Linked DNA regions of Oreochromis niloticus. The protein of the gene in region 2 interacts with the protein of the main gene of each other region in a pairwise test. Links are inferred from orthologs where the notes say so. Each region holds a gene or a part of one and is shown on either strand. Other genes may lie near its edges. The genes, in order: ccdc120b, mid2, top3b and leng1.

What was found.
Region 1: the proteins of mid2 (region 2) and ccdc120b interact in binary tests that used the Homo sapiens proteins (3 or more experiments, as listed by UniProt). The link is inferred for Oreochromis niloticus from reciprocal best matches to the Homo sapiens genes MID2 and CCDC120.
Region 3: the proteins of mid2 (region 2) and top3b interact in binary tests that used the Homo sapiens proteins (3 or more experiments, as listed by UniProt). The two-hybrid records come from large-scale screens. The link is inferred for Oreochromis niloticus from reciprocal best matches to the Homo sapiens genes MID2 and TOP3B.
Region 4: the proteins of mid2 (region 2) and leng1 interact in binary tests that used the Homo sapiens proteins (3 or more experiments, as listed by UniProt). The two-hybrid records come from large-scale screens. The link is inferred for Oreochromis niloticus from reciprocal best matches to the Homo sapiens genes MID2 and LENG1.

What each region holds. Positions count from the first base shown.
Region 1 is NC_031970.2:31,353,693-31,361,895, reverse strand, and holds the start of ccdc120b (coiled-coil domain-containing protein 120), read right to left. Parts: upstream 3,461-8,203; 5' UTR 2,938-3,460; intron 1-2,937. UniProt on the Homo sapiens protein: Centriolar protein required for centriole subdistal appendage assembly and microtubule anchoring in interphase cells. Together with CCDC68, cooperate with subdistal appendage components ODF2, NIN and CEP170 for hierarchical subdistal appendage assembly.
Region 2 is NC_031966.2:21,470,139-21,478,506, forward strand, and holds the start of mid2 (probable E3 ubiquitin-protein ligase MID2), read right to left. Parts: upstream 3,457-8,368; 5' UTR 2,993-3,456; intron 1-2,992. UniProt on the Homo sapiens protein: E3 ubiquitin ligase that plays a role in microtubule stabilization. Mediates the 'Lys-48'-linked polyubiquitination of LRRK2 to drive its localization to microtubules and its proteasomal degradation in neurons.
Region 3 is NC_031977.2:3,672,631-3,680,477, reverse strand, and holds the start of top3b (DNA topoisomerase 3-beta-1), read right to left. Parts: upstream 3,075-7,847; 5' UTR 2,890-3,074; coding exon 2,820-2,889; intron 1-2,819. UniProt on the Homo sapiens protein: Releases the supercoiling and torsional tension of DNA introduced during the DNA replication and transcription by transiently cleaving and rejoining one strand of the DNA duplex.
Region 4 is NC_031976.2:22,042,259-22,050,253, forward strand, and holds the start of leng1 (leukocyte receptor cluster member 1), read right to left. Parts: upstream 3,149-7,995; 5' UTR 3,032-3,148; exon of another isoform or gene 2,931-3,031; intron 2,724-2,930; 5' UTR 2,683-2,723; coding exon 2,551-2,682; intron 129-2,550; coding exon 1-128.

The DNA.
Region 1 (8,203 bases), on a different chromosome or scaffold from region 2:
CGGGCTAAACACTGAAGCCCGTACCGTAGCTCTGATCCTCCTGTGTCCACACAAGGAGCTATAATGCTCTCTCTTCAGCTTAGAAGTGATGCATATTAGCTTGAAATATTCACAGCAAAGCTACATTCCTACAGGCAACAGTTTTATGCGTCGTCTCCCTTGATAAACACGATGGCTCTTGGCTCTTAAACAGATTCACTCTCTCTCTACTGTCAGCTTTCATGTGGCCCAAGAGTCCTGGGAACAGGAAACACTATTATTGAGAATTTATAATACACATATTCAAGACTTAAAACTGCATGTCTTAATACGGTGCGGCAGGAGCTTTTGCAGCACCACCATATGCTGCACAGCAGGTTTATTGGTCTCTTTCAACAGGCAGCTGTGGTATAAAGGAGCAGCTGAAACCTCACCTCCAGCTAGCTATGGGCAGGTGAGGCCAGCGGCCCTCATGTTGACCGCTGGTGTTGACACAGCTGCTGCTGTTGTCAACTTACACATGTGAACCAGAGGAGGGTTACGACTACACAGCTCCTGTTAGGCTAGCATGAGGATCCCACGCTGGTTCCTGAGAAGTTAATAGGCAGCAGACAGTTAAAAACTACAGTTTGCACCACTGTCTGTGTCAGTTGTTACAAAGTAGTACCTCACTGCTTTCACTGGTGTACCAGGACAGCATTTCTCCATGTCTAAAGCCATACTGATCTAATCTATAGGAGAACAGTAATGCAACTCCCAAACATTGACTATCAGACCCCAAGGACACTGTAGAGCCATTGGTGAGATTTGCTGGTGAGGATGGGAGTAGAAATGTAAGAAGGAGGAAGATGTAATTTATGATTCAACGAACAAGAGATTGGACAAGGTCAGACATACGGCTGATTCAGAGCTGCCTCCACCTGGGCAACCCCTACAACTGTGGATGGAGGGCTTATGCAGGGGTCAGGTGACCCTCCAACCAACCCCGCGCACCAATGTGATCTCTTCGTTTTGCTCTCTATATCCATGAAATACTGATTTATAATGCACTTATCAGCACAAGGCAGGGCAGCTTAGCCAAGGCTGACCAATCGTATAGCTCGTCCTCTCTCCCTCCCCGGGCCTTGATGCTCACCTTTCTACATTTGACACAACTACCACAGGCAAAACAAAGCAAAGCCCAGTGACTGCTATCCACCTGGATTCCGCTAAGCTGAGGTTGGAGGAGAGGAGGGTGGAGTAATAAAGAAAGGAATGTGACTCTAATGTCCGAGGGGATTATTGCTATACATTTTTCCTTTGCTCTGTAACACCTGGAGGGATTTCTGTATGTCCAAAGCTGTTTTTATGCTCTGTGGCTTGCTGTAATCCACTTTGCTGATTCTGGAAAGAGTTCAGTGCTTTTGTTTCGCTCAGACTTATGAAGTGCAGCCACAGCAGCCACGCCATTACATTCAATATTTACACACAAAAGGACCTTGATCTGATTGTTTTGTGTTTTGAAGAAAAGTAGGTGAATATGCTCCCCCATCTGTAGTACTACAGTCGCTTGATCAGACTTTATTCCCTGGTTCTAGCAACAAGATACTTTAGATGAAGCTAAATGTTTCTCATTGCAACTCTATGTCTTTGTGCTAGTAAGAAGTAGTGAAATGACTAGAATCAGATCAAGCAGCCAGTGTTTCTTTTCACACTGTACTTTACCTGCATGTTTTGTCATTCACCAACTACAGAACCACATGTTCAAATTTGTGTCAGCCCATGTCTTAAGGGGATCATTTAAAAGGAAGGAAAAAAATAGTGTAACCTTGATGCAACCAGTTAAAAAATGTAAGTATTAAAAAAATGCAACTGTGACAAAGCTATCTGGGTCAAAGTCCACTTCCATGGAATGTGACTGAACTGTACTGAAACACAAAGGCCAAAGGGAGTGCTTTGTACTGTACGGGTGAACAGAAACACTAACATGACTGGTTTCATCCTAATCCCTGTGATCAAGAGGAAACTGAGCATGAGAATGGTCTCCCAGCACACCAACCCCTTTGCTTGTAAATGTCCTGGTGTTCCCTGCACTAACAACTGTAAATAAAATAGGAGCAATGAGCATAAGGCTTCAAAGGAAAACCCTCTAGTAAAAAACAGAGGTGTTTCCCAGAAACGCGAAAAGGTGGAGTACAGTGACTCACTGTAAAAGGCACCAACACATTTTTACGAGCCCACCCCACCAAAAGGGATCCTGGCGGACAGGCTCGCTCAGGGATCTGTTAATAATAGGAGCTTAACGCTGCTGCATGTGACCGAGCAGTATTAATAAATGAGAGGAGAGAAGCAATAAGGCCCAGGAGACGGCAGTAACAAGATGTTCGGGTCTGTTTTTTTGCTTCATAACAATGCAGCAACAGGGGAGAAGTTATGCATTCCCGGGAAGCTTGGCACACATTTTCACTCCTTTAAAAATTGAATTTGAGACGTTCTTGCAGTTCTGCCACCCCCTGCCTCCTGACGAGCGTGCCACACAAACGACCCGTTGCACTGTTTTCTGGCACAACGCGTACACAAACGCGAGGCTCTCACTTGATGCGGTCCTCGCATTCATCGTACGGACATGTGATTTGGCTCAACATAAAGCACGCGTTCGCACATCCAGTCTGCGCTGATCCCCGCATCTGCATAGCCGTTGCAGACGGCGGCGCACCGGCTGATAATGAAACGCACCGGACTCATTATGGAAGCGATAACACATCGCAGGTGTGTCACAGCCCGCCACGATGACAAACGTCTTTTCACACGAGCTAAATGCGTGAACAGATGCGAGGACGTCTTGCGGACTCGCGTTTAGGCCGATGCATTTCATTTTATAGAGAAAATATATCATTTTTAAAAGCCGTACTGGTAGCTATTAATTAATACGCCCATTTAGGATGGAAAAGGACATCTTGGAGCAGAATCCCCTCTTACCAGAGAGCATGACTGATGCCTTGCGAGGTCTCCATGGTTCTCTGGAGCGAAAGCAGGGGGAGGAAAATCATTCCTGCTTGTTTTTATTGGCAAAATGTGCGGAGATCCACGGAAAAGAGCTGCCCGTTCATGATGCTTCACTATCCCAATTGTAATTCACCAGCAGCCTCGCGACCTCCGCTGCGTCGGAGCTCTGCGCATCTCAACAGACCTGCTTTCTGCACGGCATGAAAACGCTCTCTTTCACACAGCCAGCTGACTCCACCACGACCACAGCGACGATGCCCCTCCCCAGATGGTACATGCCTTCAATGTGCGCCACTCGATCCGCTAATACGAATATGACCCAGGTGTTGCACAGTAGCGTGGATTCATGTGCAGCAAGGTAACCCTCCCCAAACCCCCAAGAGACTTTTTCCAGATTTAAAAACTGATACGTTCAACTCAAAAAACTAAAATAGTCGTTTTAGTTTTACTGCTTTCTATGTCAGAGTTAAATTGGACCGCACCATACAAAATTATAGCAGCCCAACATGGCTTTTTAATGGGAAGTTAATTGCGTTCTTCCATCCTTAATTCAATAACTTCAATAGTAATAAACGTGTATTGGTATATGTATATTGGTGTAAAAAAACGCATTCAAATTCATTTAAAGTGCTGACTTTTTAATGTTTCGGATTGGATTAATATTGGACTAATTTCAGGGCTTCAAATGTTTTAAGAAAATTCACTGTAAGTATTAAGAAGTGTATCCGATACAGAAACGGCTTTATACAAATTAAAATATTTTTTAACACATCACCAAATAACGGGAGAAAAAAGTGGCTCCACACAAAAAAGGACTTTTTAAAGAGGGCAAGTTAAACACCTGTTACCAACCGACTGAAGCACACATTTCACTCTCTGAAGACAAAGTTAAAGGCGAGAGATTCTCAAACAACAGCTGCACTAAAGCCCTGGCAACACATCATAGAGGAGAAACTGAAAGTTGTGGTTAAAGGGCCAGTTTTACGTCAGAAAGTTCCTAAGTACAGCACTTTGATTCCTCCTTGATTATGTTGTTCAGTACAGGACAAGCTGGAGCATCTTTTTTTGAAAAGAGAATTCATAGCAAAGCTTTTGACCGCTCATGAGAACGATCAACAAAACCGACAAAGTGATAACTGCTTGTTAAAGGCACAGCTGAACTCTGAACATCACACTGTTGCAGTCAAGTCTGCTTCTTGTCAAATGTATATCAACTCTCTCTAGAGTCTGATTTATATTAACTGATCAAAGTATGTTTAAGACTTGCTTAGCTTTATAGGCTATATGTTTTCTTTAGGCTGTGTGTTCCACTGACTCAACCATAAACTCAATAATTAGCAGACAGCAACCACATAAATTGATGTTACTGCATATAAAGTTTAAGTCAATTAATTCTACTCAGTTGATGATTTGGACACATTTGATCAATTGTAAAATAATACAAAATATTCTAACATTATCACCAAACATTACATACTCAAAGACAAAAATGACCAGAAATGAGGAAAACCAGTGTCAGTTCTTCAAATATGTTTTAATTCAAAGACTAAATAACAATATTTTTTAAAGGAATAACCCACTGTTCCCAAATATTTCAACATATGCACAATTACTTGAGGAAAACAACATTTAAAAAAAAAATCACATCAAGAATGCATAAAATTTCACATTGTTAAAACTTGCAGGAGGTTGTTTGTAATGGGGGGTAAAAACTGAATTATTATACACTTAAAAAACAAAAACAAAACACATTATATGGCTGAAAATACAATTAAAGGCCAAGTGTTATACTACTCGAGAACAGAGACAGAAGAAGACTCATTAAGTGCTTATTATTATTTCAGATATTATTATTTCAGAGTCATCTGTACGATGATTGTTGCTACATCATCACTTTGACAAGAGCATGTTGTTCTAAAAACAATAAAAACCTCGAAAAACCGAAACTAAACCTTTAAGGAAAGTTTACTGTTCTCAGCTAACATGGTGCCAGTCACAACAACTGTAATCCTGTCGCTGGGTTTTAGCTTGAGATTTGTGAGGAATGTTTAACTACATTCATCTTCATCTGTTTTTTTTGTTTTGTTTGAGATCTTAAAAGGTGTTACAATGTTTTTAGTGTCAAGTCTAAATACCGGGTCATTGAATAAAGTTTTCAGTAGATATAGTGTGAAATATTCTCACTAGACATCAAATTGGGCTAAAATTGAGAGAAATTACAAGTACAACAACCCCAACATAGGATTACACAAAGGTACCTTTTTTTAAGTGTTACTTATACTTACTTTGCATAACCATCCACACTGTCTCTTTATTTGGGGAATATTCAATTAAATATTTGACCAGTAATGTCACTGTATGTTCTGGAAAATCACTACTATCTCAGATGTCTTGGATATTTTTTAAAACAGTGGCTTGCTCCTACTTATAGCTTGTGGGTTCTGCTCAAATGACTTTAGACTGTCATAGTAATGGGGTGAATACAAATTTAGCATAATATCCATACTAGGTCAGTTTGTGATGATATATTTCCCACTTTTCAGATATTTCTGATGCAATATGATAACAAAAACTCACCCTATGAAAGCAAAAAAGGAGGGTAGGTTAGGTTTACAAAAAAGCTGACCTACCCAACAGCTGTTTAAAAAAAAAAAGTTTTGAGATTAAAGTTAGTTATTTATGAGAACAAACCTCAAAAGGTAATTGTACTTTTTTTCCTGTCATGGGACAACTTCAATGCATTTTTAAAGGTCGTATGAAATTCATCACACCACACATGCTGATGCTAGGAGCACATTCTGCCTTCAGTGGGAGAGCTAATCAAATGATAGTCTACTTTGCAATCAGATTAAGATATTTAAAAAATGCTTGTAATTTCAGCCCAGAATCAACATGTCATCATTACAATCCAGTATGAATGGTCATGAATTTGAAATAATCACATAATTCAATTTAAATAACTAGTTCTAATAGAAAGGTACCTTTGGCAGCTCCCTTATTTCCCAAGTGGTCACCACATCAGATGGATCAACACATCTGATTTGCCACCGGGTACCCTTTCTAATTCCCTCACATTTTTCCAGCCTTAGTATCATCACTGGGAGCAAATGCAAAAATGCAAATAAATGGAGTGCTAATAAATGGAGTGTTAGTGACAACAGTGATGACACTAATGAATATATTATTAAATTAAAAAAGAAAGCAGTTGAGGTGCACACTTGTTTTTACCAAAACAAATCTTCTATTAACTTTGTTGTATATAGTATGAACGAACCCGGTAGCATGACAACAGTGTTAATGCTGGGAATCAAACACGTGGGCTAATTTTCTAGTAGTACAGTTGTCTGAAAGGGCTACTAAAATGTGTAATAGTGGTAAGGAGGGTGAGGGATATTCCTCAAGTAAGAGTGTGAATCAACCAACAGCACACTAACCACACAGAGGGCTGACTTCAGCACACTGCCAAAGCCAAGACACATAACAGTCAAGTAGAAAAGCCCTACACCTACATAATAAAACGTCTGAGAAGAAACACGCCTGGATTATAATGTCACAACTCCTGAAATGCCTTTGGTGATTCTTAAAATAAACCATTTACAGTCCAGAGGTAAGTCTGTAAAGTTTTGATATACATCATCACCAAAAAATAAAATAAAATTGCACAAAGTGTCACTAGAAAACCAGTGGTCTCCACTCTGCTCACATTTATTTTCCATTTCTGTCTGTGATGACGTTAAAGTTGAAGTGCTCTGCAGTTATTACAAATGCCCACATTCTTCTTAACCAGGAAATCACATGTTGATGACCGTTCCAGTATGATGGGGTCTTTATAATGTAATGGTTCTTTGGGAGGCATCCCCCTGGCACACAGAGTACTTCTCCAGACCCAAAAAGCAAATTAACCACCTCAGTCACCGAGGTTAGACGTGCTGGGTAGCAGTCGTACAGCGGGTGGGTGGGGAGCAGCGGTTGCTTTTGGACGGTGACCTGATAGAAGAAGCCCGGGTCGATTAGCACCATGGTGTCGGTCATGCTGGACTGCTTAGAACACTGGATGAGCTGCAGCTGCGGGCCCTCCACCATTATAGCATACCACAATATGGGCAGTACAGAGGAGCGTAAAGAGTCTAGTAGTTTCATGAGGTGGTTTTCTGCATCTGCACCAGTCCCAACTGGGTTATCAGCCAAACTGAAGATCTGTGTAATCTGCAGACAACAAACGAATAAAAATACATACGCATATGATTGCCTGTGGGGGGCGGGGGTAGCCTCAGCAGGACACTTACCATGGGCAACTCATCTTTCTCTTCTTCAACAACTTGCTTTGTAGCTTCTCTGCCACTTTGTGCTCTCTCTGCATCCCATCTGTTTTGCTGCTCCTGTATTGACAAAGTTGGTCTCATGAGAGTGACGCCTTAGTCTTTAACTCACTGCAAAATTATAAATATTAAACTACACCCAGCCCACACCTGCACATCAAATTGTGTCAGAGTCCAACAACACAGTTTATTATTAATAAACTGAAACCATCTGTGGACAGAAATGAATCCTTTGCAGAAGTCTGCAGCTACAGGAAACCTCTGACGCTGCTAATGGAGATTATGTGAGGTATCGGGTAGCAGCCTCTGGGGAGCCCACAAAGAAACTCCGCACATTGTAGTTCCTCAAGTTGCTATTTGAGGCTGGCTCATAAAACAAGCGAGATCCCACAGAATCTCATGTTAAAACACCCAAATGTTAAAGTCTGGTTAAATAATTAAATAAATAACACCCCCCCCCCAAAAAAAACCCCTCTATATCTAATTTTAGCTTTCATTACAACTGTATGTGGGTGAATTTTACATAATTTAACATTATTAAACTGTTACTTTGTACTACTTAGCAGCTAGCTGTGTCTGTTGTACACATCCATACAGTTCATACACCATGCCAGCACATCTTGCGGGGGCTAACTACAATTCAGCACTCTAACTTTTTGTCCAAATATGCTCACTTATGGCTAAAAGAAATTTAAAAAATAAATAAGAACAAACAAAGATATTGATGGTTGTGAAGCTAAATTTAAGAATTCAATTTGCTAAAAACTATTTGGTGCCATCTTTTATTTACAGTCTATTGTTTTAAAGGGGTTTTTTTAGCCTGTGTATTGAATTATTAAACACTGTGGTATATAAAGATGGTAAATGGTAAAATGGCCTGTATTTATATAGCGCTTTAATAGTCCCTAAGGACCCCAAAG
Region 2 (8,368 bases):
CAAAAATACACATTAAAAAGCCACCACTTCACAAGAAAGCCTTTTTTCCATGGGAAGCTGGAGCTGCAATCCTCAAACAACTTCAAGCAAAACAACACACCGACTCTCTTGCTGTTAAGACAGTCCCTGTGATAGCCAAGTGGACTCTTAAAGATATGGATTATTCAGACCCATTCAGGCATCAGTGTGTTGACAGACAGACTTCAGTAAAAACATCCCCATGCTGTATATCCTTTCTGCCTAATTGCTCTATGGGGATAAGCTGATTTACATGTACAGAGAACCTCCCTATGCAAACAGTGATTGTGAACAGTAACATTCAAGGGCTGTAGCTGCTGCAGCAGACAAGTGCACAAAACTGGGATTCACGTATCCGCTATTTTCATTCGATTTTCCCGAGCATCAAAGTTTAATACAGTAAATCTAAGAGATACTGCAATATGCAAGCTTACAAAGTTTAGTCAAGGCTTCAGTAATTATGGTAAATGTGGGTTAATTACATCTCTTACATTTTAAAATTGCACCATGGCATGCCATCGGGATTAGCGAGATTAATAATGCTTTCATAATTGTACTTTTATATTATTGCTTCAGGTCAGGTAACATATTTTAACCACTGATGAAGCACAGCATAAAAGAATGTAGACTTGTTTTCATTTATTTAGTTAGAAAAGTGTGGGGAAAAAACGTCTTGATATTCATTTATCTAATGTAATATCACAGATTCTTAAAAAAAACGATATTTGACAAGTCAGCTTTTGATTTTCTGGCTAGTCCGCAATTAGCTACTGGCTGCCAGTAACAGAGTCAAACAGGTACACTACTGTACAGTTGGCATTTACATCTATTCTTGGAAATCGTTGCAGCTGCAACCTCGACAACGAACGCCAACCCTCTTTCACAGTTATAATCATCCCAGCACGTAGAAGCTGACTCCCTGTCTCTTTTACAGAAAAAAAAACTCTGCTATTGTCATCAGTATAATGTCTTAATAATTATCATCTGAGGGTGCAACTCGAGACTCGACTAAGACAAGGGGAGAGAAGCGCAGCGTGGATAGACTAGGAGAGCAAGCAGCACCCCGTGGATGCATGATGAATGAGGGTGTCAGTTGTATTCACCCAACTAGCAGTGCAGTTTCTGAAACTGTCAGTCCCCATGCACTGAGACCTGTCTCATTAACCACAGTGATCATGCATTAACAAGACAGGCAGTAAGAGAGCAGGGAAATAAATCATTTTTATAAGATGGTGAACCACCGTTTTTAAAAAAAATTGTAATAGACATTAAATTTGTTTCACTGGTGATCAGCATGACAAGATATGGCACATTACAGCTCATCATACGGGTTTGTTTTGGTTGTGTATTAGGATTAGAATGGAAATATTTGCATTGCTGGTAATTACTCCAAGTGGATTTTGATAAAGTATTTGTTATTCAATTATGTGAATAATGATGAAGCACTAGGTAACCGTCTCTAACAGTGGGTTCCATTTTCTTACTCCCCACTGTTTTTGGTGTGCTGCATTATTGATAAGGAGCTGACATTTTACACTTTTCTGAAGGCAAAGCCAGAGTCCCTCTACAGTCACCTGCAGCACTGTCTCCACAATAACCAGGCTGACAATCTAATATCACAACAGGGACTCTGCAGGATTCATATTACATTTATTAGCAGGTTTGTGGTGACTACATTGGTTTGTGCCTTCTACTGGACTAGTTTGGCATTTTTATTTAATAACATGGAATTTTCATTACATAAAATTAAAACGCATTTAAGACTTGACAACTGGTGTTCCTGCGATTGTTCAGAAAATCTACTTTTATATGTATTCTGAAAAATCTCCTTTTAATCTCTCTGGGGGGGAAATGAGAAAATGCCTCTCTTCCTGCTGCTTTGGTTGACAGCAGCAGGGCGTGGCTGGGAGTCAGCTCAGGTTAGTCCCTGTTTTCCTACATCAGTCATCCTTAAACTTAAAACCACCTGCCCAGTGTGGTGCAAGTCCCCCTTGTGCTGCTAAAACAGCTGCAACTGATTGAGACATGGGCATGTGTGGAAAAAGCACCAGGACATTAGAAGTGGATCATTTGCCTCCTGCTGGTTTCAGAGTGGAGTCTCAGAGAAGCAGGCTTGTTCTGGGCATCCTGTAAATGCTTTATTGTACTGGGATCTGGCAGTTTGGAGGCCGGGTCAAAACCTCGAGCTCTCTGTCGCATTCCTAGAATCGTTCCTGAACAGTTTTTGTGGTGTGGTGGGGTGCAAGTGTTCCACTGGGGGAGGCTGTTGCCATCTGGGAGCGCCATTGTCATGAAACATGTCTTGTTTTCCAATGTTTAGGTGGGTACATATCAAAAATAACATCCACATAAATGCCAGAAACCAAGATTTCCCAGGAGAGCACATCATTGTAGTTGGATGATGAGTGTCATACGCTTCAGCTGTAGTAGTGGTTTTAATGTTGTGGCTGGTGTTGTGGTACACAATGGCTAAACTGATGAGTTCATAAAGGCTAAAGCATGTTCACCAGTCTTTAAAATAATCCACTCCAAAAGTAAGAGTTCATTCAGAATATTCAACAGCAACATCATCAACAGGAGTGCAGAAATTTTAGCACTCTTAAAAACTTTTGAGAATAAATTTGCAGGCCACTGTGAACATTAAACACATGTATTAAGTCCCTGACCCACCACAGACGTACCAGAGCGCATTTGTTTTTGTTTTTTCTCACCGTCTTTTTCGAAGCAGAATATTAGGCACACATTTACACACGTCTTCATGCTGCATGTTTCTGTACACAGATAAGAGCTCGTCATACACTTACTGTATCGTTTGACATGGATCATTACACTGTTGCAACCCTGGAACCCACAATACTGCACAGCGTGTGCCTTCCACAAACTAACTCATGCTCCTAGCCAGTGTGTGCCCTCTTGTGCATGTTACTCTCGCTATTCCGCCAAAAAAAACACACATAAAGGAAGCACAGCCTACCTCGGCTCGCAGTGACAGCTCCGTACGTCGACTCGTTGCAGGAGATGGCAGCAATGTGATGCTCGCAGTAAAGATCGCGGCTCGTAAGCGCAGAAGTTTTGACAAGTCAGTGAGTCACGGATCACACAAAGAGTGCCAGTTCCTTACTGATCTGTGTAAAGCAAGCCACTGTACAGGGTGTATGACAACGCCCCGAAACAAAAGTGATCCGGTTGATCCTCCGGTGGATCATTACGATTATTAAGGATGTTTCTCTCCAAATTGGATACGCGCACCGGTGCGCTGCCTTTACCTCCCAAAGTGATCCCCAAAGCAAACGTCCCCTAAGGACACGTGATCAACGTACGGGGGACGGGAATAGCTCTCAATTCCCCACACAGTAGCAGCTGGGATCGGTTACACCGCTGCTTTAGTGCCCGTTCAAAGAACCCGAGCTGTGCGCACCCATACTCCTCCTCCTACCATTTTCCCATCCCCTGTGACCTCACGGTGTCGCTGTCATTTGTCTTCACCTTAGCAATTTGGATCTGTTAATATAATACACCTGTCTCCTTGGCCCGTTATTAAGACATTAAATTGCTGTTTAGCTGACATCGCGGTGGCAATTCTTTATTTCCCACAGCAGATATAATTATATGAAAGTTTTCTTATAGATGGTAACTCAAATGTGTGTAGATAAATTATATTTATTAAGATAAAAAATATTTAAATGTTGCTTAATAAAAATGAACAAATTAGAATCACATATGTAGGTTGTACCATTAATCAGTGTAAAATGATATTAACAATAATTTTGTCAGGATAACTCTTTGGGGTTATTCCACAATCCAGACTGTTTTCCTTCTTTTCATACAGACATATACATAATTTGTAATCTAAGTCAGTAATGATGTCACTACTCCCAGGCACCAATCAGAGTTTAACAACTTTTACAACCAAGTGTAAGAGTTGTTAGAGTCATCATTAGCGTTAATTGGTTTGAGAGGCGGTGATAACAGCCATATTTTACATTTCCATATTATTTTTATACCACACCATTTATCGACCGCTCATGTCTTATGGATGGGGGCACTGTCATCCTAGTGGGCGCCACTCCCATCATTTGTCATGATTTATATATATATTCTTCAATCTTAGGGGTCACGTGGACCCAGAAAATGCTCTATAACACACCAGAGCCAACGATTCCTCTCGGTATAAAGGTCGAGGGGTTATTCCTTTGTCACCAGTTTGTAGATTGTTTTTTTCTTCTTCTGAATTCTATTTTTTTTGTGTGTGTTTAATTTAAATAAAATCTTTCATTTCTAAGTCTCATGCTTTAATAACACTGATTTTCAGAGGTTTTTATTGCAAATGAATTCTCAGCTTTTGGTCCTCAAACTGTAATAACTGTAAGAATTATTAAATTTTGATAGTCATAGGCTTTAGTTAGATGTTTGAAGCTGACAGAAGAGTATGATGTTTGCATGGGGATTCAGTGATGAGGGTTTTTTTTTTTTTTTTTTTTTTAGCTAAATAAACATTTAGAAAGCTAGAAAATGTGCTAGCGTTAAAATGTGTACATCATGAGCCTGAAGTTGAAAGGAGCTTCCAATTCTGTAGGTGAGCTAATGTGGGTGTTCTGAAGAGAAACAAGGATTTTTCTGCTGAATTACTGCCTTCAAACAGCTCTCAAATGCAAATGGGATACAGACTGAATGGTGGAAGAACTGCACGGCCGTACAAGTTGCCATGTTAATTAGTTCCTCTGTGACAAGCTCGGTATTCAATAGAGACGAGAAGGACAACTTCATCCTAAGGAGAAAACTGATAGGTAGTCCTTGTTTCTCTGTACCTTCCACCCACGAAAAGCAAAACCAGCACTGGCCCTCTCAGTCTGCTGAGTGGTTGTAAGACAGGTTTTAAAAGCAAAGGGGTGCACAGGACCCCTCACACCTTACACATATGCTTATGGATTAGGTTGATAAACTGTAACTCCAGGTCTCAGCTGGTCCATTGGACTGAATATCAAAGCTCGCAGGTGGATATCTGTGCTGGCATGCAGGCCTGTAAGACTGTTTGTTCGCTTCTGAACATGCTATTGCTGTACAGACAGATTCCAGCTGAAAGTATAAGGTGTATTAGTACACAGTGATAGATGACTTTAACATAGTTGTTACACACACATATAAAATAGATTTTATTTTTCAAGAAATAAATTTTTTATTATCTTTCAGTGTCACCCAGTCTGCAAAGTGACACATTTTCCACATGAGTAAACCTGTCAAAGAAGTACGTTTATCAGTTTAACCTTCTCGAAATGAGGAATAGCTTGTGTGAAATGGCAAACTTTCACATTTCACTTTGGTCTTTTATGACGAATGTCATCTGGCTCAAACAAATAAGTTTGCTATTTTCCTGTTCCAACATCCCACAGCCCCAAAAACAGTCTTATTAGAACTTACACTTTACACTGCAGTGGTTGGCTCATTTTGTATTGTCACAAAAGGCAGGATTTAAAAGTGAAGGATGTCTGTCAATTTCTCTTGCAAGGACACTCATCTCATCCTACATAAAAACCAAACTGACAATGCCCCAAATCCTCCATTGATATGTTCAGAGCCAGCATGTCTTTTGTGATACTAACAATGGGTGCATTGGAACTTATGAACCTACACCTGTGAGCACAAAAAACAGCCTTTAAAGCCACCTTGTGGGGTTTGTGGTCATGGTTAGCATTCTGGATTAATCCTTTTATAAGTGGACATTTTTTGTTTTTTGTTTCGTTTTTGTTTGAAATGTGCATGAAGATCAGAGGCAGACTGTGCGACACTACCATCACTGGTCAAAGGAACACAGAACCAATTCTGCAAAGTTAAAAGAGAAAAACACTGTTTAATGTCCATGGATAGAATACACATGGCACATTTAGACAGGGAAGCTTTGCTAAGTATGTCTGTGTGTAAGTACAGTATGTGAGAAAAGACCAACCAATGACTGAGCAGCAGATGCACTAAAATGTCATCCATCCATCATCCATCCATCCATCCATCCATCCATCCATCCATCCATCCATCCATTTTCATTCACTCTTGGTATGTTTCCAGGTTTAGTATTTTCTGTCATTTCACTGCTTGCTGTGCTTTTGTTTTATGTTTTTTATACTTTTTTTGTATGTTTGCATTATAATTTCTTAAAAGCCAAGCAAATAACAAGGTCAACAAATTAGCTTCAGCAATAAGTGCTACATGAACTGAAACGGTCTGCTTTTATTTGATGAACACTGAGATTTTGTTGATCATTTTCCTCAGGAGTTAGAAAGAAATACTAAAATATACAACAAAAAGGTAGAGAGATTCGTTGGTGAGTCTGGGCCTTCGTTAGAGCTTCACAGTTTGAAATGAAAAAGAAAAATTCTGTCAATACAACATCAGACCTCAGTAATTCTGAACTGTGGAGGTCAATAAAAGTATTTAATAACACACTCAGCTGAAGAATTTTGCATTAGCTCTAAAAAAAATCTCTTCCCTTACAAAGAGATTAACCCAAAACATATTGTTAATCATTACAGGGCTTATGAATAGTTAACTGAAAAGGGATAACCGAGGCTGGGGAAAAGTAATAATTAATGAGGCTGGGTACAGATGGGACACTATGGGATACTTAATTAAGTTTTGGCACTAACAAATGACCCACTTTTAAATTTTTCTGGAGTACACATGGGTTTAATGGTAAAACAAGTAAGATTTCCATGTTTAAATGTTCCATAAAAATAAACAATGTAATCATCATAATTTGAAACCCTTCTGACATCACGTCAAAGGCTTCTGTGTGTTGTGTTGCAGGGATATCTATTGAAGTGAGCATACTAACAGGATAACCTTGGCTCTGTCCTGTCTTGTTATACCGTCATATCTCAAGAGGTGATAGTGAGTCATTGCAGGTGTCTAGTTTGCATTGTGTCAAATGTGAGAGGAATAAGTAGTGCCTCGCAGGTAAAGATGGTGTTTTAGTAGAAGTGTCACATAGACAAGCAACTGATGTATGCAATCTGCCATCGGGGGACACTGCTACAGCACAGGGATCATCAACAACCACCCTGCATGGTGATCTACTAAGAGGATACATATTCACTAATCATGTAGAAGCCTATAGACCTGTGAGCACCAAATCTACAGGTGTCTACATGATGCTGGTGGCAAGGACATCACAAGCCATGTACAAGGAAGTGGAAGCAGAAATGATAATATGGCTAGAGGTCTAGGCTTAAAGGTGCACGGATAAAAAAATCTTAATCAGTCAGTGCTATCTTCTCTTTGGATTATATGTTGAACTACACGAAACTCCAGTGGCGAGATTTTATCGGGGCTGCACCTTTGTTGTCACAGAATAGTGGCTCTGAGATGACTGTATTGATTTTCTATATTGTATATTCATATTTTTTATGTATTGTACCTCTAAAATCAACCATAAGAAATCAAATCATATGAAAGTCTCTACTCAAAGACAGCTTTTGTTAGTTACAAGATAACAAAGAGTATTACAAAAAATAATTATGTTTCTATGATTTTTTTTAAATGTGGGAAGTTGTAATTAATAGCTTTAAGTTTTTTTTAAATACTAGCTGAAAATAAAACAAAATGAACTACATTATTTATCATTTCTAATCAGTACTGCATGCCCTGAGAAGAAAGCAACAAGAACTTCCAAGGACTGCATAATGCTTATTATGTAACTATGCCAGTGACTAAATCTTTGCTCTGCAGTAGTGCATGTACTTAAAGTTTACAAAACATTTCTTTTGTTGAGGAGCTCTGAGGATTTGGCTGTTTTGCTGTGCAACTGTCTGGGATTTTAAGGATCCATATAAATGTAAGTAGCTGCCAGCTGCTGTCTTTCAGCTCACTGACCCCTCGGTTCTCTCACACTGCAGCGCAGCCACAAATAAAATCCTGCAATCATAGTGGATTATGAGGGTCTAAACAGCAAGACGTCAGCTTGCAGGTGGTTGCAGGCTGAGCTTTTACTCTGCAAGGTCTGCTTGAGCCGTTATGTCTCAGCTGTGCTACTCTGTAGATTAGCAGAAGAAAATAAAAAGAAATGAAAAAGACAAAAGCTTTGGTCATCAGTGCATCTCTAACTGTCTGATAAAAATCTGATAAAATGTGTTTAAATACATTATTCAAATAAGAAATTCACCATGCTTAAAAATTAATGAAATAAAAATACATATTTTGTCCATAATAAGATAGAATAATGAACAGAAGGTCAAGGTATTGTAGCCGTGTGATAACACTTGAAATAACTGTGCTTGGATATGTAGTGGAAAACCAGAGACTATGAAAAAAGAAACCACGGATAAAGTTTCAAAGACTGTCTTTGTTTATGGTTATAAAA
Region 3 (7,847 bases), on a different chromosome or scaffold from region 2:
TGCCTCCTATTCCAAGAAGACAGACTAAAGGTAAATTTTTTATGCCTTAGTTTCAATTGTATATCTTATTTTATTTGACTTTGACCTTTGTCTGTACTTGAGATTATTTATGTATTTTTGCATTTAAGATAATGCTTTCTTAAAAAAAAAAAAAAAAAATAAGATTTCAATTTAGAGATGTTGTTGTACAGTTAAACCTTTAAACACTGCAATGGAATGGAAACCAATGAGTAGTTCATTCTTAAAGAACTGTGTTTTTCTTCTCTTTTGAATATTTATTAATGCTCATTAATAACAAACCAAAGTTATTCTTATCTGATTCATTGATGGAATAATCGATAGATTACTCTATTACTAAAATATCCAATAGCTGCAGCCCTATAAATTAGATCTTTAAACTCAATCCACTTAAACAATAAAGCTTACTGGCTCACAGAAAAAAGCTGATTAATGACAAAAGAAAAATTAGCATCAGAAAATTTCTGAATGAATAATGAAGTCTGCTATTCCTTAAATCACTAGAAGAGTGGAATTACGTATTTTAAATGTCTAAACTCAAGAATAACAAATGAAAAAAACAAATATTTGCAGAACAGCTGTGGTATGCGTATGCCTGTGAGTCTGAGTTACTGATGCTCAATGGGGAAACAAAGACATTAGACAATGTTAAAAAACTTAACACCTTCCTACTCTTCCAGGGATGCTGATGCTATTTTCTGAAGAACTGATTGGCCAGTAGGTGGTGATTTCTAATCTGGAATTTAACCTGCTCCAGAGCAGGTTAAGTTCACAGTAGGGGTGCAACAATACTCGTGTTGGTATTGAACCGTTCGATACAGTGCTTTCGGTTCGGTACGCATATGTATCGAACAATACAAAATTTTTAATTTATTTTATCAACTTTTCTTCTGACGATGCTGTCTGTATTGAGAGCTCAGTGGATCTGCGTTCGACTACTCCGCCTAGGCTGCACTGTTGAGCGGAGATCCACTGAGCGCATTGCAAGCTAGCGAGACAGAAGTTAAGCTCGTTGCAACATGGCAACTGCCTCAACGCTACCCGAAATTGAACCACCCCCACCCTCTTTCAGATCTGGCGTTTGGAACTATTTTGGTTTCCATGTGAAGCATGACCCTGATGGTAAGCGCGTCATGGACAAAAGTAAAACAGTATGTCGGATGTGCCACGCAATGCTCAATTACATTGGTGGGAACTAGTGCGTTAGCACAGTTAGCTCGTTAACGTGTTGATGCCGTCCAGCCCCACACACGGGGCAATCCGCAGTAACTCGTTAACGGAGATTTGCGGCGTTATGGCATTAATGTCATTTTAACGAGATTAACGCTGACAGCACTAGTGAGAACACAACGAATATGACTGCACATTTACGCCGACATCATCCTAGTGCAAAGACAAGTGGAAGCAGACAAAAACAACAAGCACGCATGCTACAAACTTTACCCGAGTCATTTAGACAGCCGTTAGCACGTGATTCTCCTTATGGGGACCTGATATGTTTAATATGCTGCTGAGAATGTACCCCAGAAGAAGCGTATAGTATAGCTTTTATTTTGGAAAGAGCCATTTCTCTGTAATAAACTCTCTTTTCCAAAGATGAGTGATTTCTGGATCAGATAGATTTTTTTTTATTATTATTATTTTGTTGTTTCAGCAACATTACATTTAAAAACTATACTTTTGAGTTAAAATATATATTTATAATTTTAATAAATGACAAATTAAAAAGGCATGAACATTTTTTTGTATCGAAAAAATATCGAACCGTGACACCAAAGTATCGAACCGAACCGAACCGTGAATTTTGTGTATCGTTGCACCCCTAGTTCACAGCATAAGTTACCATGGTGAATTACCTCAGTAAGAAGTGAACCACCTTCATAGTACAGAAAATCCAGATAAGCCTAAATCCAGATTCATAGGCCTACTCTTTATCTCTCACCAGGGAAAACATTGACTTGAACCGGGTGCCTCAGGTCATCCATGAGGCCAGCTGCCACACCGGCCACTCCTGCAGGGGACTTGAGAGTGAATTTGGTTTAGAGACCATCCCTGTATCCCTGAGGATGCCAGTCCTCAAGAAGAACCCCAGCTGCTTCCCCTCAGCCAGCTACTCTCTGGAGTTTGAGCTCATCACTGTGGCATGTATATGTGCCATCTCCAGACACAGCTGAACACAAGAGAGCATGCTATGGTCAACTTAGGCCACTGGAGAACTTCACCAACATCCACTGTTTAGACAAATTATAGTCTTCACATCGGTATTACTGAGAAATAGCCCATTTCACTCATTGTGCTTGTTTTCCAGAAGACACTAAAAAGGTTATCACTTATTACACACCTGTTAACAGCTCATTAAAGCAATCTGAGACACTTTACATTATACGGTGTCAATTCTGTGCCCATGTGTAGTGTTTTGACAGTTATCACAACACTTTCCTGTTTAATTCAAGATCCAGTACAAGAGTGTCTAAAAACCAGTACTGCTTTAACTATTGTACATAATATGTCATTTAGCAGTACAGGCAAACACAGGAAACAAACTAACAAGTCCAACCCTGGGATCATCATTTGGATCATTCTAATTAAGACTAGAAGCCCAGCTAGGCTTATATATGCTGACTGCCCAGATCGAAGAAATCTTAATTTTCTAATAAAAACAAACAAACAAACAAACAACAAACCAAAACAAAAACCAATCAACCGCCAAAAGGTCAGCTGATCAAAGCTATTCAATTTCATTTCGGCTCCACCATACTTTCACTGCGTACTGATCGACACAGCTTTTACTCTGTACCCACCTTTAGAAAGGATTTTGGCAATGGCCTGAGCCAAGGACGGCTTCTCCGCTACCATCAGCACACTTCTCATGATGAGCAGGTTCCCTCAGCTGTCGCTTCCTGTCCCAATTTTATCAAAAGGAGACACTGACCTGTGCTCCGCTTCTCACCGGTTAATAGGCTATGTGAGAAACTACTACAGTGGCCATGGCGCCTTCTACGATACGAGATCTACTTCCGGTGCACGTCATGGCCTTTTCTTCTCCTTCTTCTTCTCCTTCTTCTTCTTCTTCTTTTAAGTAGCGGTTGGCAAACAACTGCATGGTGCATTACCGCCACCACTGGCATGGAGTGTGGACAGGAATCACGCTCAAAAAAAAAAAAACCTACTTCATATACTTCCAAACAATCTTCCTTCTCTCAAAAACTGAGACAAAGCCTGATCACATTTATTCCCCGACTCCTTTTGCAATAACTTAATAAGATCCAATTTCATGTTAATGTTACTGAGACTTTGGACCAGTTGTCTCCTCTCTACCTTATACTTCTGACACTGCAAAATAACATGCTCCAAAGTTTCCTCCTCTCCACATTTCCCTGAAATATGTTTCCCTATCAAGAACAGTGTAGAATTCAATCCTGTATGTCCAAATTTCAGTCTTGACACCACCACCTCCTCTCGCCTACTCTTTCCTGTGGCACTCCTTACTCCCACCCCCTTTGAATTTTATATAACCACCTTCCCCTCCTTTCTTCTTCCCACTGTTTCTGCCATCTACCCCTCATTTCCACCAGACCAAAACTCACCGCCAGATCAATTAGTGGTTTCCTTTGCTAACCTATCTGCTGCTTCATTCCCCCTTACGCCATAGTGAGCCGGGACCCATACAAACACTACTGACAGACCCATCATATGTATTCTGAAAAGAGTTTGCTGAATCTCTATTAAAAATATCTGATCTACCTTCCGAATGACCACTCTGTAGACTGACCAAGACTGCTCTTGAATCTGAACAAATAATTGCTTTCAATGGCCTCAACTCTTCCACCCTGTGAACCGCTAATAGAATTGCTATGATTTCTCCTGTAAACACAGACAATCTGTTACGTCCCCACATGAAAGCTAGGCGAAGAGGGTGGGGGACAATAACAGTTGGATCCGGGTTGAAATGAAAAGGACGCCAGGCAGAGGTGTTTAACACAAAATAAATCTTTATTATAATTAATTAACCCAATAATCATATAAACAGTAACAACAGAAAGAGACAGCAACGCTGCTTTGATGATAAATTAGACAGGCCAACCCAAAGAGATGGTGACCGCTTCAACTAAGAAAACAACTATAAGGATTTAACAGAAAAAGACAGCAACACTGCTATTAGCAATGAACCCGACAGGCCAAACCAAGAAATGGAGGGAGAGAACAACACCACGCCCACACACTCACAGGATGTAACACAATCCATCATTAATCCTCTTAATTTCTACCATAAAGTCCAGAATTACTACTGCTACCCCCACTTGACTAGCTGGATTCTTTGAAGCATCCGTATATACTTGAACATACCCAAAATACTGTTCAATGTAACCCTGAACTGAATTTGAGTCTAGACCGCCTGCCCTATCCTTACTCTTCTGGTGCAATAATGCAAAATCCACAGCTGCTTCAGGAAGTATCCATGGAGGGATTGCACGCCACGGCACTCGCTGACATATGTCAAACTGATCCAATTTAAGTTCTCTAGCTCTTCCCCCCACCACCCATCCAAAGCTCTTTAATTCCCTCCTGCCTTTCTCCCAGCAAGGTTTAAGTACTTTTAGTGTATGGTGATCCTTCCCCTGACCCTGTAAGTTTGCCCAATAAGTCAATCTAAGCTGTCCCCTCCTCAACCCTAGTGGCATTTCCCCCATCTCCACCTGCAAGGCTACAGTAGGAGTTGTTTTAAATGCCCCTGTACAAAGTCTCAACACCTGATACTGAATAAAATCTAACTTCCCAAGAGTAGTGTCTGCTGCCGAATTATATGCCACACAACCATAATCTAACACTGACCTCACCAACCCAGTGTATATGGCCCTCAAGGATTCTATATCCGCTCCCCAATCCTTCCCAAACAAACACCTCAAAATATTCAAAACTTTTTTACACTTACCCACCAATTCCTGAATGCGTGCACCCCAGGTTACCTTCTCACAAATCCAGAAATTTAAACTTCCTCACTCTTTCTAATTCTACGCCATCTAGCTTCAGCTTAACTTCCTCACTAACCCTTTTCTTTGTAAAAAAAACAAACAAAAAAACAGTCTTAGTCTTATCAACTGAAAATTTGAATCCCCACTTATACGACCATTATTCAACTTTACCAACTGCTTCCTGCAACTTCTTTACAATAAAACCTACATTCCTCCCTCTTCTCCATAAGGCTCCGTCATCAGCAAAACGTGAACATCCCACCCCACCCTCTATGTCATTAAACAAATCATTAATCATTAGAGAAAATACCAAAGGACTCACTATGCTCCCCTGAGGAGTCCTGTTCTCTACAGAAAATCTCTCTGAATAATTCTTTCCAATTCTCACTTGTATTTGCCTACCCTTTTAAAAATCCAAAATCCACCTATACATCCACCCCTAATACCCAATTTACGGATTTTAATCAACAAACCTTCTTTCCACATCATATCATAAGCTTTCTCTATATTGAAAAACACTGCCACCACACACTCTTTATTTATTTGAGCCCTCCTAATTTCATGCTCCAAACACAATACTGGATCCATAGTACTTCTCCCTCTTTTAAATCCACTTTGATATTTAGATATAAACCCTCTACTTTCTACATAATATATTAATCTCTCATTTGTCATTCTCTCCATAACTTTACAAATATGTGATGTTAAAGCTATCACTCTATAATTACCTGGCTTGGTACCATTCCTCCCTGGCTTACGTACACTGAAAAAAACGGACTGGCCATCTCTTGGACTTATGTAAGCATCTTGCGTGTATTTAACACAATTGCCTCGTGCTTTAAAGTTAAGTGTAATTATATAGTGTAGAAACTACATGATATGCAGAGAGGGTATATTAAATTGTTCATATCACGTTCAAGTGAAGTAAGTCAATAATATAGCAATGTTAAATCTCGTGACACCGCACGTGATTTCGTCTCGCGCATTTTGGATCGTGGTTTGAGGAAGGCATCCATCTCAGTCAAGTCGAGCCACCGCCTCTACTTTTTTCGGTATACCGAAAAAAAGGAAATTGGGTGGTTGTTACATTTACAAAAGTCTAACTTGTAATTTGATCAAAATAATTTCATGTTTCTATGGTGAACGTAATTAAATTATGTAGGATCTGTATGAAATTCAACAACTTAATGTGTTCTCGTTGAGATGACATGATACAATCTAGTAAGAGTGCTTAGCTGGTGGACTTATGAAATTCACATGATCACATGAGATTTCAAACTGCAGGAAAATCATTGGAGTTATAAGAGGCAGACAACTACACACACACCACGTGTATGCTATCGCTATTTATTGTGGTTTAACCTGTCAAGGACAAAAACGTACAAAAAATTCTGCATCAGGCATCCAAATCATTGGGTTTGTGGCGTGGTGGTTAGTGCCGTTGCCTCACAGCAAGAAGGTCCTAGGCTCAAATCTGCAATCTGGCTAGTTTGCAGTGGTTTCTCTCTGGGTATTCTGGTTTAATTGATTTAACTCCGTTGTTTAAGTTTCTGCCAAAGCAAAACATCTGTGTGCAACCAATGTCCACTATTGAATTAAATAAATCTAACATGCTCTTTTTTCAGTGTATAGGCACCACCACAGCCTCTTTCCAACTTTGTGGCAGCTTCCCACCTTCCCAAACCCTATTATACAACTCCACTAACTGCTCTTTTGCTGACTCACTAAGATGGTTTATCACAATGTAGCACACCCGATCTTTCCCTGGCTCTGATAACTTATATTTCCGGAGCACTCAATGTAACTCTGACTTAGTAAAAGGCATATTCACCAGATCATCCATATCCTCCACCATATCCAATAAGTCTCTATTCTCTGTAATTGTCACACAACCTCCTCCATTACCATCCTTCCTATCCCTCCAAACCCCAACATATCCTTTGATAACAAAATCCAAATTGGGCTTCAGCCATGGCTCCTGTACACAGATTATATCTGGTTTCTTTTTGCATTTTTCAATAAATCCTTTAAACTCTTGACCGTTTGCAATCAAACTTCTAGCATTCCACTGTAAAATAATCATATTGTCCTCTCCCCTGATCCTTCCACTGTCCCTTCCCCTCTAAGTCTTTTATTAATGTTCTCCCACGATATGTCTTTAATACCAAAGAACCTCTCTGCCCCTTTCACTATTATTTTGATTTTCTCTGTCTTATGTTTCACTTCATCTGAACAATTTATGACAAATGCAATGAACAATTGCATTTGTGTGAAGAACTCTGTGTAGCTGTTAAACGCCACTGTGTCCATGCCAGCTGTACACCTGCTGACCTCTGACCCCTCAGGGCATGCTGGGAAATCCCTGCCTGAGCTGCTCAGGTGACAGTGGGTGAACCGCAGCGCGATCAGGCTCTGGCTCTCCGACGTCAAGTCCCTGCAGCTCGCGTCCAGGTACTCCAGAGCTCGCGCCCAACACTCTCCGTACCGGGACAGAGCCGCGAGGGTGCGCACGCGCCGCAGCTCCATCCTGCCGCGCTCAGAATCCGGAGCCGAGGAGGAGAAGGAGTGTCCGGGACCGGCGGAGTGTCCGAGCAGAATTGAACCGCTCAGCAGCAGCAGCAGCAACTTCTCTACTGTCAGACCTGGGTGAGTTCCATGCACTTGTACAACTTCCGGAGTTAACCCTGATTGAACTTTTCCTGGTCCATCTCCTCCCCTCTGAACCCTCCTAACTACCTCAGCATAACTTATGCTGTGAGTAACCTTGACCTGCTCAACCTCCATGGCCTTCTTCCTTACTTCACAGCCTCCAAAACTCACCCTATGCTGCCCCCCACAGTTACTGCATTTATCCTG
Region 4 (7,995 bases), on a different chromosome or scaffold from region 2:
AGGGGGAAAAGATTGAGATGCTCCAGAGCTCCACTTCCTCCACCCTGTTCCTCATCACCATCATCTCTGCTTCCTCCTGTTGACTGAAGAGCAGCTCGGGCTTTCCTTCTCAGATACTCTGTACGTGCCTGTAAACAAACAACAATTAAAGGACATTCATGGGCACAGCAAAGCTTATTTAACCTTCATAAGAATAAACTAAGCTCAAATCATAAATACTTAAGTTTTCTACTGGTGCCAATTTAGAGACGTACAGCACATTTACAGCAGTCTGAATAGTAACACATAGGAAATGTTAGCATTGATTTCCAGGTGTGTGGGGTTTTTTTTTAAATATTAACAAAAGACATCATACAACAGTAAATGTGTTGTTTTTTACAATTGTAAAGGATAGGCGTGCACTGAAAAAACACTGAGTAATTCAAAGATCTGAAATTATGTGAAATTATACCATCAGAACTGCAATTTGAACAGCTCTTGCACATTAGTAATGCAGTATTTCACACAAATAAACCTGTTCAGTGATTAAATATTTACACAGTGTCGAGTACACAGTGTGACTTTCAAGGATGATTGCAACCAAAAACACCATTTACAGTCATTTTAGTGCCACATGTGAGCTTTATGCTTTATGTATCGGTGAGGAAGTTTATAGATGTACTAGATTGGGGCTGTATGATATCACAATACAACACACTCACGAATTTTTACTCTGCAATACTGATAAACACTATCTCAAGGTTTATTCTGTGGGCATCTTTCCATGGTATTTTTGAAGTCCTGTAATAAATGTTCTCATCAAGAAGGTTAGAAATTGTAATGTTTATCAAACCAATCTTAAGTTGCTTTGAATACAGCTTTGGTTTGAAGTGATTTTGTTCTGGATTCTAGTGAGAGATCTATTAGGGATGCAGTGACTGCAAAACTCTGGACCAAAACTGATGTTTATAATAACAACTTGTTTTGTTTTTTTGTAATTAGTATATTACATATTTTTACCATTAACTATCCACCTTTTTTTGCAGGTGAAATAAAGAAAAGATCACTACACTGTTTGAACATTAAGTCAGCACAAAAGTTAGCTGACACATCAGAGTAACAATGCTAATCAGCAGTCAACAAGGACAGTATCTGATGCTCATATACTCTACCTATCATAATGCATAAGTGGTTGCTAATATTTAGTCTGCTTTCACTCTGTTGTTTCATAAAAACAGGGTGTTTCCTGTATCAGTGTGGGCCTTTTAAGGGGTTCTGGACATCTGGGTTACGTTACGTATCAAAGTTCTATATGTTTTCCAATACATCTTGTCTATTTGATCAACAAAAATGTATTTTAAGCTTTAGTAAGTTAAATGAAATGGTTAAAAATATTTTTTAGTCACAGTGGATGACAAAAAACCTTCACTGATGGGCTCAAAGCTTCTTTAAATACAGTAAAACCCTAATAATCTCTGCAATGCAATACATAAGTGTAGCAAAGAACAATCTGTTCTCGCATGATAACATTTTATTCCGGCCCGCTACATTTTACACCCTGTGATACTGAGCTACTTCAATGTCATCTCACGTTTCCTGTCCTTTACTTTACTTTACTTTACTTTACTTTAATGTACAGTACTGACATTACTTTTTGGGGTAACTTTTCTGTAATACATTTGATTTAAAAAAAAAAGTCTGCCTTTTTAATATATTTATTTTTGCATCCCGCTATAAAAAAGCTTTAATATTCTAGATATTTATTTATTGTATAAAATGTAAATTAAAAAGAGAATGCATTAATTTGTATTATGAAATTCTTAATCACAACTGAAAACATAACCAATGTTTTAAGTGATTTTGTTGGCAGCAACAAATCTCAAAAAGTTGGGACAGTGGTAACAAAAGGCTGGAAAAGTAAGCTTAACTAAAAGGAAACAGCTAGAGGAATATTTTGCAGTAATTTTTGCAAAATTAACTGCCAACCGCTCAGTAACATTATTGGGTATGCAAAAACTGTGTCTACAAGTTGTGTACCAATTTCAGCATAAAGCTATTCAATGTAAAATTACAAAGACTTTGAATACCAATACTAGATGCCTGTGATTTTTGGCATCACAGGCAGCAGTGCAGTAAAAACGCTGCCTTCTCTGGGCCAAAGCCTATTCAAAATGGACTGACGCACAGTAGAAAACTGTTTCTCAAGGTACAACTTGTGCATTAGTGCCTATGGAACTGGAAGCTTGCACATCTGGAAAGGTACCATCAGTGCTTCAAGGTACATTTAGGTTTAGGTTTACTTGACTTAAAAAGCTACACTTTACACAGTATTCTAACTTTTTTGTAACTAGGGTTGGACTAAGAGCGTCTCAGGTAGGCTCTACTGAAAAAGGACATTTACTGCACACTGTTATTATAAATGAGTACGTTTTTTTAAGTTGTTCAAGTTAGTAACCTTGCTTCTGATCATATCTGGTTTAAATTTGAGGTATCCTGCTCAGACTACAAGGGGAAACAGAGCACCAGGTAGGGTACAGTAACAGCACGCCACGGTCATCCATCCGGAGTCACCTCTTGCTCCGCGCGCTCCACGCGACGCTTGGCCTCGCGCTCCTCCTCTGCTGCCTGGGCCTCGTCCCTCCGCACTCGAGCGACGTTGTCTTTGTTGCGGACATGCCAGCTCTTCTTCGGAAGGATGTTCATTGTTCCCTTGGCGACTGTTACTACTGTAGGTTAGCAGTCGGCTAGCAGCGGCAAAAGTGGAAGGAAAACGTGAATAAGTTCCCCAAAGTAAAACCGCTAGTTGTGGAACTAAGTGCGTCAATGTCCCAAAGCGGAAACGTATATAAATATACAAAAACAAACTTTATATTTGCAGCTTTGACCTCCCGAGAGGCAGAGCTAACGAGCTAATGTTAGCCGATGTTTTCTACTTTCCACCTCTACTTTACCTTAAGGACTCAGCACCACGCAGAGATATCACATTTCCACAAATTTAGCAATGTTTTTAACATTTTACTTTCTAAAACAGGGCCCAGGCGTTGTCACCAACTTGCTGAGTGAAGAATTTCTCTTGTTGGACAGGTAGCAGGAGCTCATAGGAACAGGCAGACCCAAACAGGAAGTAAACAGTAGCTCCATGTTGAAGCAATAACACAATGGCGACAGCAGAGGGGGCTGTTATGTTTCTCATTTTATTTTATTATGTAAAGAAAAAAATATCTGCTTTGAAGGACAGACATAAAAGGCACTAATCTATTTACATAGTGGAAATGCTATACTCTAATAACGATCAAGTTTTAATTCTCCTTCTTTATGTATTCCTTTAAAAAAAAATCACAACTTTTAATACAATTATCTTCGTGCAGACGTGTGTGGTAAAACCTAGCCTGCATTAAATTATAAACATAAAAACAAGTCTTATTATGTTGTTTTCAAGACAGTAAATCCTTGCCCATATGTCGTGTTCAGTCTTGTACTCCTGCATGATGTGTCGGTATGTGAGCTTGCCGACTCGGGCTCTCAGTCTGCTTGATCAGGAACTGTTTGCTCTCCTGTAAACCAAGTCCATGTGAGAATCAGGAAACCATTTAACTTACTGTTTAAAAGTGAAGCCTAATGACTAGTGGTGCAACGGATCACGGTTGATCTGAAATCCGAACCGATCCCACGCCACGGTTCGGCACGCACGTGATCCGAAGATTCGAAAAAGAAAAAAATAAATATGTGTATGGTGCGCGTGGTCAGTCTGTCAAGCGGTAGTTATGGCCAGCGCTAGCGGTCCAAGTGGCGGAGCAGAGGAGTTTGCGGCATTTAAGCAGCCCTTTGCTGCCCAATCCGACCGGGCTAAAGCTATTGCAAAAGCTACTGGGGTGTTTAGCTGCAGACGGGAGGCCGTATTCCGTTGTGCAAAACAAGGGGTTTAAACTGTGATGAACGTGCTTGAGCCACGCTATGATATCCCGTTGCGCGTCCACTTCAGTGACAAGATCGTTCCAAGCATGTATGAGCAGGAGAAGTTTAAAGTTATGGCTGAACTGTCTCAGGGATCTTCTGTTGCTCTAACTACAAATGGGTGGACCTCCAGGGCAACGGAAAGTCACGTGACCGTGACCGCTCGTTATATCACAGCGGAGTGGTAGTACACTAGATTAGATGAAACTTTATTTATCCCTCGGGTCGGTTCCTCCGGGAAATTCAGTTTCCAGTTGCACAGCACCGACAGAAGTTGCAGAATGTGAGCAGAAATATACCATATATACACACATATAAATACAAAGACATATATAAATACAGAGAATACAAAAGGGATAAATAGAATAAATAGGAATAAGAATACAAGGGAACGGCACATTTCAAGTATCGTGAGTCTATTACACCGTTGGATATTAACAAAAACTGTTGCTCCCCTCCAGCCAGGAGTTAGACAGTTTGATGGCGTGTGGGACAAAGGACTTTTTAAATCTGCTGGTCATTGACTCTGGGAGAAGCAACCTCTCACTGAACAGACTCCTCTGGTTGTTTATGGCCGTGTGCAGAGGATGCAGAGGATGCTCAGCATGGTCCATAATGTCCATATTGCACCTTAAGTTGTTTTTATATAAGTGCGTGGAATGAGTCTTCAGCTGAATGTTTTTTAATAGGCAAAAAATACTTAAATAAGTAAATGGCGAGTCGAATTTTTGTCTTTTTTTTTTTTTTTTCTATTTTTGCTGATCCGAAAATTGATCCGATCCGTGACTTAAAACCGTGATTGTCATGAACCGAAGTTCAGTGCACAAGCTGAACCCAGAAGCAGAGCCAACACACACGCAGGAGTACGAGAAAATAAACTTTATTCTAACTAAAGGTGTCCCGGGAGGGTTAAGGAAAACACACGTGAAACTAGAGAAACCAAGGCACCGGGAGAAGAGTCGCGCAGGAACGCCGAAAACGGGACTGAGGGAGGCTGCAACAGAAAAAGAGAAGAATTACTGGGATGCGGGGAAAAGCGGCACACGTGAGGGAGAGTTTGAGTCTTACAGTCAAAGCGGGGCCGTGAGAGCCGGAGGGAGGGGTGAAGGTCCGCGGGGAGCTCCAGGGAAGGCAAAGTGAGGGATACTGAAGGTGATCAAAAAACTCCAGGCGGGCAGGTGGACAGGCAGGTGGCTCAAAAACACGCCGAGCAGTTATCTGAGTGCACAGGGAGAAATCAGCGCTCATGCAGACAAATGAGGGTTTTCACAATCGCTTCCCTGTAGGCATACGTTACCGCTGTGAGACGATTACGGACTGGCGTGGAGCAGCAGGCTGGGCTGGATCAAGTAGTCCACCTGATAATCGCCTGGGATGAGATGCAGGTGTAGAGTTAACAGCCACGCCCGTGGGCGTGAGCATCGCATCAGCTCCTCGGACGCCGGGCCGCGGACCATGACAGTACCCCCCCTCAAGGGTCGCCCCCAGGCGGCCGGCCGGACTGCTGCCTGCGGAGAGAAGCATGGAAGGCAGAGATGAGACGGGGATCCAGAATGAAGGAGCGCGGGACCCAGAGGCGGTCCTCGGGCCGTACCCCTCCCAGTCCACGAGATACTGCCAACCCCGTCCGCGCCGGCGCGCATCCAGGATCCGTCGGACCGCATAGGCAGGATGGCCGCCGACGAGCCGTGCGGGAGGAGGGGGCTCGGGAGGCGGGCACAGAGGACTGCGGCGGACCGGTTTAATCTGAGAGACATGGAACGTGGGATGCACCCGCCAAGAGGCCGGAAGTCGGAGCCTGACTGCCACCGGGTTGATGACTCGGTCCACCTCGTACGGTCCAATAAAGCGGGGTGCCAGTTTTCGAGACGAGCCCCGAAGCGGGATGTTTCCAGCTGCCAACCAGACCTTTTGTCCCGGACGATATTCAGGGGCCGGGGCACGGCGGCGATCGGCATAGTGCGCGTGCCGTTCCTTCGCGCGCAGGAGGGCCCGGCGCACGCTGCGCCACACCCGTTGACAGCGCCGGAGGTGATGTGGAGCTGACGGGACGGAGAGGGCTAGTTCCTCTTCTGGAAAGAGCGGAGGCTGATAACCGAGGGACGCTTCGAATGGGGATAACCCGGTGGAGGACGAGGTGAGAGTGTTATGGGCGTACTCCACCCAAGGCAGGTAAGTGGCCCAAGAGGAGGGATTTTGACTGGCTACACACCTTAGCATAGTCTCCAGCTCCTGGTTTAGACGTTCGGTCTGTCCGTTGGACTGCGGGTGGAAACCGGAGCTCAGATTGACCCTAGCGCCTAGAATGGAGCAGAAGGTCTTCCACACTTGTGAGGAGAACTGGGGCCCCCGATCGGAGACGATTTCAAGGGGGATTCCGTGGAGTCTGAAAACATCAGTGATTAATGTTTGGGCTGTCTCCGCGGCCGAAGGCAGCTTTGTCAGCGGGATGAAATGAGCGGCCTTAGAAAATCTATCCACAACGGTGAGGACTACACATTTCCCGGAGGAGGTAGGGAGACCGGTAACAAAGTCTAGGGAGATGTGAGACCATGGCCGGTGGGGTGTAGTGAGCGGGTGGAGCTGACCTACGGGGTGCTTGGTGGAAGATTTATTACGAGCGCAGACGGCACAAGCAGACACGTAAGCTCTCACGTCCCTTATTAGTGACTTCCACCAGAAGTGTCTTCTGAGGAGGTGTATCGTTCTACTCACGCCTGGGTGGCACGTGAATCGTGCGGTATGGATCCAGTGGATGACCGCCCCACGGGCGGCAGCGGGAACGAAGCGCCGCCCAAGTGGACCGGTACCTGGATCAGGGTCCTCCGGGAGAGCTCGGCGAATGGTCTCCTCGATTTCCCAGGTGAGAGTGCCCACCACGCAGGCGGCGGGTAGGACGGTGGCGGGAGAGAACGCTTCATCGTCGGAGGTATATAGACGGGAGAGCGCATCGGGCTTGATGTTCCGTGACCCTGGACGATAGGAGAGAGTGAAGTTAAAGCGAGCGAAGAACAGAGACCAGCGGGCTTGGCGTGGATTTAATCTCTTGGCAGTTCTCAGGTACGTTAGATTCTTATGATCTGTCCATATGAGGAAGGGCTGTTTAGCCCCCTCCAGCCAGTGGCGCCATTCTTCTAAGGCGAGTTTAATAGCCAAGAGTTCCCTGTCGCCGATGTCGTAGTTCTTCTCCGTGGGGGTGAGTCGGCGCGAGAAGTAGGCGCACGGCCGGAGTTTGTTTTGAGGCCCGGATCGCTGGGAGAGAACTGCTCCAACTCCAGCATCAGACGCGTCAACCTCAACGATAAACTGTTTAGAGGAGTCGGGATGGGTTAGAATAGGTGCGGATGTGAATAAGTGCTTTAACTTAACGAAGGCCGCGTGGGCCTCTGGAGACCAGGTGAAAGGTACCTTAGATGAGGTGAGCTGGGTGAGAGGCGTGGCCACTTGGCTGTAATTCCGGATGAAGCGGCGATAAAAGTTCGCAAACCCGAGAAAGCTTTGGAGCTTCTTCCGTGACTCCGGGACCGGCCACTCTAGGACCGCCTTGACCTTCACTGGGTCGGTCTTCACCTGCCCACCTGCTAGGACGTAGCCCAAGAAGGAAATGGATGCAGTGTGGAACTCACACTTCTCTGCCTTGACATACAGTCTGTTCTCGAGCAGCCGCTGTAGTACGCTCCTCACATGGACGTGATGCTCCTCAAGCGTTTTGGAAAAAACCAGGATATCATCCAGATACACAAAAACAAACACGTTCAGGAAATCCCGTAACACGTCATTGACCAGGGCTTGGAAAACCGCCGGGGCGTTAGTTAAACCAAACGGCATCACTAAATATTCAAAGTGCCCTAATGGAGTATTGAATGCGGTTTTCCATTCGTCACCTTCTCGTATTCGAACCAGATGATAGGCATTCCGCAGGTCCAGCTTAGTAAAAACCGTGGCTTCCTGGAGCGACTGGAAAACAGAGTTGATTAGCGGGAGGGGGTATTTATTCTTGACAGTGATGTCGTTTAAACCCCGGTAATCGATGCACGGGCGGAGCGACCCGTCCTTCTTTCC